Canis lupus familiaris: one gene and its partner. The protein of the gene in region 1 interacts with the protein of each later gene in a pairwise test. Links are inferred from orthologs where the notes say so. Each region holds a gene or a part of one and is shown on either strand. Other genes may lie near its edges.

Region 1 (3,649 bases):
CCTGTGTGCGGTCATGGCATGAGAAGGTGTGGGGGTGGAAGGTGGTTGTCTTGGTTTCTCCAAGGGCTGCTCCCAGGCTTGGCATGAGGCCCAGGAAGGTGCCTGTCTGCTCTTCAGTAGCTGCTCTAGGTCAAGGTCAAGATGGTCCGGGGCCGCCTGGGGAGAGACCAATGCCTGCTCTTTGAGACACTTTCTGGAGCTTCACTTGATTATGGTCTTCTTCATCCCTGATAACCCCAACAGAAACAGGGGACTCCATGCTGCTCACGGTCATTTAATAGGACGTCTGCCCCTTAGTGCACGGCCAACAGTGGCTGAGGCTTTGGATCCACAGTCCTCATCCTCCCGTGCTCTGGTGGCAGATGGCAGGTCCTACTGTACCGAGGGTGGCTGGGCTGAGGGCGGAGCCATGAAATGCTTCAAGAACTCCAGAAAACTAAGGACTGGCTTGTCACACAGGAAAGAGTTTTGCATCAATCTACTCTGTCTCAGAGGAGTGCAAGGGAGGAGGAGGAGGTCGGTCAGAAATCAAGACCAAGTGGCTTTTCTGAGTACCTGGAAATCTGAAAGGAAGGTGACCTGGGCCCGTGGCAGACCTGCCCTAGGCCCAGCCCTAGGCCACCAGCTGTTCACCCAGGGAGCACCCCCCCTCCAACTCCCCTGTTCTTTGACTGCAACCCCTCCTACCCTTAAGACTCAAGCTTTCTATCCAGGATGAGCAGTGCATGTCACAAGACAGCAAGGAGCTGAAAGAACAGATAACAAGGACAACCTCCCACCCCAAAGGCCTCTTCAGCTCCCCCACCTGTCCTAGGACCCAAAGGCTGGTTGGTTTTAGCACCCTGTTTTAACCCCCAAATCAAGAGCTGTCCTTCATATGAGGAAGTGTGAGGGCACCAGCCCCCGGCAGCAATGGAAGGCAGAGTGACAGCATTTCCCAGGATATAGTTCTGGAAACATGTCTTCAGTGCAGGAGGCACCAGAAGAGGAGTGCAGGCTGCCTCCATGCGGTAAGTGGAAGGGATAGTTCCTAGGCCTTGATGACAAGGCTCCTGTGCAGGGCACTCGCTCTTGGGGGGAAGTGGAGGAGATGGCATGGCCAGAAGAAGGCCTCTGGAAACAAGAGAGAAAAGGAAATGCTCATCCGCTTTCCCACCTGGCCTGAAGAGCTCAGTTCTGGAGCACGGCATGGGGAAGAGGCTGGCGGGCCAACTGGAGTCCACAGAGCAGGAACCCCACAGATAGAACTCAGGACAGAGGTGGTTCAGGGAGCCTGGGCTGGGGACAGGAAAAGTGCAGAAAAACAGCTGGCGCAAAATGTTAGGTAGTAGGGCTGTGCTCCACAGTGACCCTCTCAGCTCCTTTCACATGGAGCTCCCCGGCCAACGTCCCAACTCTCTGGTCTGTGTCAGCCACTGTGGCAGGCATGGGGCAGCCTCACACACTGTAGGCGGCTCCAGCTGGCCTGATGCCTGGCTTCTGCTACCTCTGCACGATGTCACTGATCTCCTTCACGGAGCTGAGGAGTTTGCTGAAGTCCTGAGTGGCCGCCGGGCCACTCCCTGCTGTCGCCGGGCAGATCTGAAGTTCCCGGAGATTATTCTCCAGTTTGTTGATGGCCTCACGGAAGGCGAATTTGTTCCTCATTTGCTGGATAGAATCCACGTAGCTCACACAGAATGTGTAGAGATTCTTGCCGGCTTCAAGTACAGCGCTGTGGCTGGCCATCTGCTCGGAGTTCTTAGAGATGGCGAGGCACAGAGCCTCCGTGCCATCCAGGACCACACCCTTGGTGATGGTGCCACTGGCGATCCGCTCAGGAGGCTGGCGGGTTTTCCGAAGAGACACACGGGTTGATATGAGAGGGATGAAGGCAGTGGAGGCTGGCTGGTCCACAGCCAGGGCAGAGGATGCGGATGACAGCGTGGAAGGGGCGGAAGCCGGGCTGGCTGGGGTCCCCGCCGGCTTGCCGGACGACTGCGGCTTTGGCATGGATGGGAGCACGGGCTTTTTGACGCCTTCTCCCAGCAGACCGGGCTTGACGGTGTCACTGTTCACAGCATCCACAACCACTGCTGCGGCTTTGGCTTTCCCACCAGTGCTGGCCTCCCCAGCTGCTTCCTGGCTCAGGCTCTGAGAAGGCTTCCCGGCTTTCCCAATGGAAGCTGGTAGTGGGGGCGGTGGGACAGGTTTGAGCTTGGACAGTTTCCCCTTGTCTCTCCCTGGGGACTCGGAGGAGGGCTTGTGCCTCCTGGCTCTGGGCTCCTCTGCGGGGGCCTTGCTGGCCCCTCCGGACATCCCTGGCCCTCCTCTGCTGGCAGGGGTCCCCAGCTCAGCTGTGGTAGGGGTCCCCAAGGCACTGGACTTCCCGGCCTCGTCTTTGTGGGGAAGGCTGGAGGAAGGAGCCCCCGACACCTGCTTGCGGAGGAGTTTTGGAGTCAGACTGGGAGGGCTGGAGCCTGGACTGGACTCCCCCATGTCTCGAAAGACCTCATCTGCTGCGTCCTCAGTCTTTTTCACCAGCCGGGGTGGGGGGGTCACTGTGCCTCTGGTCACCTGGTCAGACCTATTCTCACTCGCCCGTTTCCGAGGCAGAGCTGGCTTCTCGCTCTTGTGCCCTCCAAATGTGGACGAGTCGAACTGCCTCCCTGTGGACTGCAGATCCCGAGGCAGCGTGACAGACCTCCACTCTGTGTCCTTGGCCCCGTGGGGCACACATGAGGCCGAGCAGGACCTCAGGAAGCGCTTGCTGGAGCTGCCGCCACTCTCCTCCTCATTGGCGGTCAGGCGGCTACTGGTCAGTGTACTGGACTTTTTCCACAGGTGGGGAGACCGGAAGCCTGGTCCCCCCGACTCCCGGAAGGCTCCATTCGGGACACCCGCCCCGCTGCTGGGCTTTGGGGACTTGGCTGGCTCGGCTGCGTCCAGGGTGGTGAGGGCTGGCACCCCATTGCTGGTTTCTCGGCCCTCCTCCTCAACGGCTGCCTTGCGCTCGGGCTGGCCGTCCATCTCCCGGAAGGAGCTGCTGCGTTTTGGGGGTGTTGGGGCCGTTTTCTTCTTCTTTTTGATCAAGGCACTGAACAAGTTGGTCTTTTTGTCTTTGGGGAGAAGGCGCTCATCTTCATTTAGGCTGCTGTCTTGGGGACCCCGTTCTTTTCGAGGGAGCAGTGGAGACACAGGAGGCTCGTGATCCAGGGGATCTGAAACACAATGGGAAGACTTTTAACATCTCCAGACCAAAGGCTCCTTTGTGGGGGGAACCTGGGGCTGGCCCCTGTCCTCTACAGAGGAGCAGCCCAGGGTCAGGGCTCTGGCAGGCCTACCTGTAAGCACCAGCTCTGCCACTCCCAACTGTGGCCTGTGAGTGTCCTCAGCTCTCTCATCTATGAACCGGAGACCACCACCTACCCATAGCATTGTGTGAACGTCATGCAGTGAGCATACAGCGTTTGTCCCAGCTATCAGTACATAATTTCTCACGGACTGTTAATACTTCTAGGAAAGGGGGATCCCTGGGTGGCGCAGCGGTTTGGCGCCTGCCTTTGGCCCAGGGCGCGATCCTGGAGACCTGGGATCGAATCCCACGTCGGGCTCCTGGTGCATGGAGCCTGCTTCTCCCTCTGCCTGTGTCTCTGCCTCTCTCTCTCTC
Region 2 (3,649 bases), on another chromosome or scaffold:
CCACATAACTTGCAAGGGAAGAAAGAGAGCTAAAGATGCAGGTAGAGATGGAGAGAGAACAGTGAAATGAAAAGGAACCCACAGAGGAGGCTTCAAGAGACATCATCCCATCACCATATGTTGAACACATTTGCACTCTAATTAAACAAAAAGTAATTTTTAAAAAATGATGACATTTAAGAGGATTAGAAATGTGAACATCAGATAATTGATGATATTCAAGAGCTGTGCTGTTAGTAAGATCATGGTATTGTTCTTTTTTAAAAGTAATTTTCAAAAAAAAAGTAATTTTCTTTCTTTTTTTTTTTTTTTTAAGATTTCATTTATTTATTCACGAGACACACACACACACAGATAGGCAGAGACAGGCAGAGGGAGAAGCAGGCTCCATGCAGGGAGCCCAACATGGGACCGGATCCCTGGCCCCAGGATCAGGCCCTGGGCCGAAGGTGGCGCTAAAACACTGCGCCACCAGGCTGCCCCAAAAGTAATTTTCTTGGGACACCTGGGTGGCTCAGCAGTTGAGCACCTGCCTTCAGCTCAGGGCCTGATCCCGGATTACCGGGATCACATCTCGCATCAGGCTCCTTGCATGGAGCCTGCTTCTCTATCTGCCTGTGTCTCTGCCTCTGTGTGTGTGTCTGTCTCTCATGAATTAATAAATAAAATCTTTAAAAGAAAAAAGTAATTTTCTTTTAGAAATTATACTGAAATAGTTATGGGTGAAATGATATGATGGCTGGAATTGCTTCAAAATAATCCAGAGAGGGGAAAGAGGGAGAAGATGTACATGAAACAAGATTGGTATGAGCCAAAGTGTTCAGGCTGCATGGTGGGCATGTAGGGGTTTGTTATATTATTCTAAATATTTTTTATAATTTCTATGATACAAAGTTGTTGTTGTTCAAGTGTTGAGATAAAATCGGACCTGGTGAGTAAAGTGCAAAGGGCCTGGATCGCCTGCTGAGGGGCTTAACTTGGAACTCTGGGTTTTGAAGGGGAGCCTTACCTTGTACAGAACCTGCCAATCACTGGTCTTGGTGTGGGACAGCTTCATGCGTTTCAGAATCAGCTACAGTCAGACAAGGGGATGGCCGCTGTCTTCTCTCCTCCATTCTAATGCCCCCAAGAATCCCAGTGCTCCTTCCCTACCTCCCTGCCCTGGCCTGGGCTCACAGGCACATTCTTGATATGACCCAGAAGCCGATGCAGCATTTGAGCCATGTCCAGATTCTGAGGTAGGAGGAAAAACTGAATGACATCCAGCCGAGAATTTAGCTCTTCCAGATCCTGAGTTGGACGTGTGAACCACAGCCTGGAAGTGAGGGATGAAGTAGGGAGGGACCAGAAGTTACATCTGTTCTCATCATTGTCTTGATTTCAATTTGTGAAAAATGTGTGTTTGGAAGTCCCTGGGGATTGGGGTGAAATGTATCTGTACTGGCAAGTACAGTGTCCTATCCACATGGGTATGTTTACACATATTCACTAAAAATCTCTGCATGTGAGCATGACTCTGTTTATCGTGGTTTTGATGGATGTGACCATGTGTCACTCCATGTGGATATGCGACAGAGCTTGTCAATATTTAGACGGAGAGCAGCATATTGAGGTATTTGTGTGCCAACATTCTAGCTCTCTCTGCGGCTGAGTAAGACAGGGTGAGTCAGCATGAGTTTATCTGCATTTGGCTGTAAGTGTCTCTGGGTGTGACAGTACAGACATCTTTTCCTGTTCTGTAAAAGTATATAACCATTCCATGGGGAATGATAAGTCCTCAATTCATGATAATGGTCACTTCTGCAGAGAAGAAAGGGTTGGGAAGGGACACTTAAGAGGTGTCAATAACATTGTCTTTTTTTTTTAAGACTCTTTAAAACTTTTATTTATTGATTTATCTGAGAGAGTGCGCACATGAACAAGGGGAGTGGTAGGGGGAAAAACAGCCTTCCTGCAAAGTGAAGAGCCTGATGCAGGGCTCCATCCCAGGACCTGAGATCATGACCTGAGTCAAAGTCAGACAACCAATTGAGCCACCCAGCGACCCCCTCCCCAACCTTTTTAAGTAAGCTCTATGCCCATCGTGGGGCTTGAACTCACAACCCCAAGATCAAGAGTCACGTGCTCTATCAACTGAGCCAGCAGCAGGGCACCCCTTTAGTAACATTGTTATATTCTTAAATATGCAGGTGCAAACATAGAGGTTTATATCATCATCATCATCATCATTACTTCTACTATTGTGTGTCTGAGGTATTTTCTACTAAATTAAATTAGTATACGGTAATAAATCTCTCATCTGGGTTTGTCTGAGTGTCCTTGTCTCTCTATGGCTATGAAGAGTGTGACTCTGCAAGGACCTGTGAGACAATGAATTCTTTTCTGCATTAGAGCAGGACATTTAGCCATGCTATTTTATATAAAGCAACCTGAGGAGACACTGGGGCCTGAGGATATGTATCTCACACTATAGCCTAAGGCCAGTTACCCTGGGTTAGAACACCGCAGGGAGTGAAGCGGAGGGCTGGGTGGGATTCAAGGGTGGGTTTTAGGCACCTCTGCTCCTCAGCCACAGACAGCTCCACCTGCAGCAATGTAGGCCAGACTGTGAATACCTGTCCCCATTCTGGAAAGCACAACCTTCACCAAGCCATCTATCTTGTAAAATCCTGAGATATTTCTGACTCATGTACTGCTAGTGCCAGATATCGTAATCAAGCTAAATCTCCTAATTTTACAGCCGAGAAAATGAAGCCCTTAGAGAATAAGCAGCTTGTCCAAAGTTACTGTGCTAGTAAGAAGTATAGCTGGGTCTCCAACTCAGGTCTCCAGACTACTAGGGCAGTGCTTTTCAGAGCACACTGTGACATCCAGTCACCTTCCTGGTGCCCCGTCCTGCTGTAGGCCAATTGGACCCCTAGTTCATAATTCAGGTTATGAGTCCATGCCCTACTGGATCCTACCTGGGGGATTGGCATTCCTTTCTGCATTTAACTCTGTTCTTCTCTAAGAATTCTTTTGCTCTCATCACTGGCTGAGATGAGAGATCTGCACCTGTAGAATGCGAGGGTAATTAACTCATCCCAATTACCTGGAGACAACCTCAGACATTATCCTAAATTAACTGCCAAAAGACACAAAGTGCAGGGCACATGAGGTGAAGAAAGAATTGTGCATCTGTGGGCTAGCAAAGCCTTCAGCTCTGAGCTTGTAGAGACAATGGGACCAATGTGCTTGCATCTGTGTACCGTGCTCACTCGCTGGGTGCTACTACATCCAAGGCCATGTGCTAGACACCGACATTAACAGACATGACCACTGTATGGAGCTCACAGATATGAGTGAGCAGGTTCACTGACCGCTGACTCCAACCTAATGGAACAGTGCAGCCAGGAAACATAAACAGGCACTAAGCACGCAGGAAGGTGCAGGTCAGTCTGCTTCCAGGTGCCTGTGAAAGTTTCCCCGAACAGGTGACAGAGGGCTTGCCACCTTGAAGAGGAGGACAGATTCTGACAAGTGAAGAACAAGGGAAAAATCTTTCATAGAAGGAACTGCATAAACACAGGCATGGTGTATTTCCATGGTAGAAAATGGCCCAAACGACCAGAATATAAGGTGGGTCCAGTGAGGAGGGATTTAGGCAGGG

The links.
Region 2: the proteins of ABL1 (region 1) and MSH5 interact in binary tests that used the Homo sapiens proteins (3 or more experiments, as listed by UniProt). The link is inferred for Canis lupus familiaris from reciprocal best matches to the Homo sapiens genes ABL1 and MSH5.

Annotation. Positions count from the first base shown.
Region 1 is NC_049230.1:53,210,593-53,214,241, forward strand, and holds part of ABL1 (tyrosine-protein kinase ABL1), read right to left. Parts: intron 3,201-3,649; coding exon 1,483-3,200; 3' UTR 1-1,482. UniProt on the Homo sapiens protein: Non-receptor tyrosine-protein kinase that plays a role in many key processes linked to cell growth and survival such as cytoskeleton remodeling in response to extracellular stimuli, cell motility and adhesion, receptor endocytosis, autophagy, DNA damage response and apoptosis.
Region 2 is NC_049233.1:1,365,310-1,368,958, reverse strand, and holds part of MSH5 (mutS protein homolog 5), read right to left. Parts: intron 1,316-3,649; coding exon 1,153-1,315; intron 1,073-1,152; coding exon 1,010-1,072; intron 1-1,009.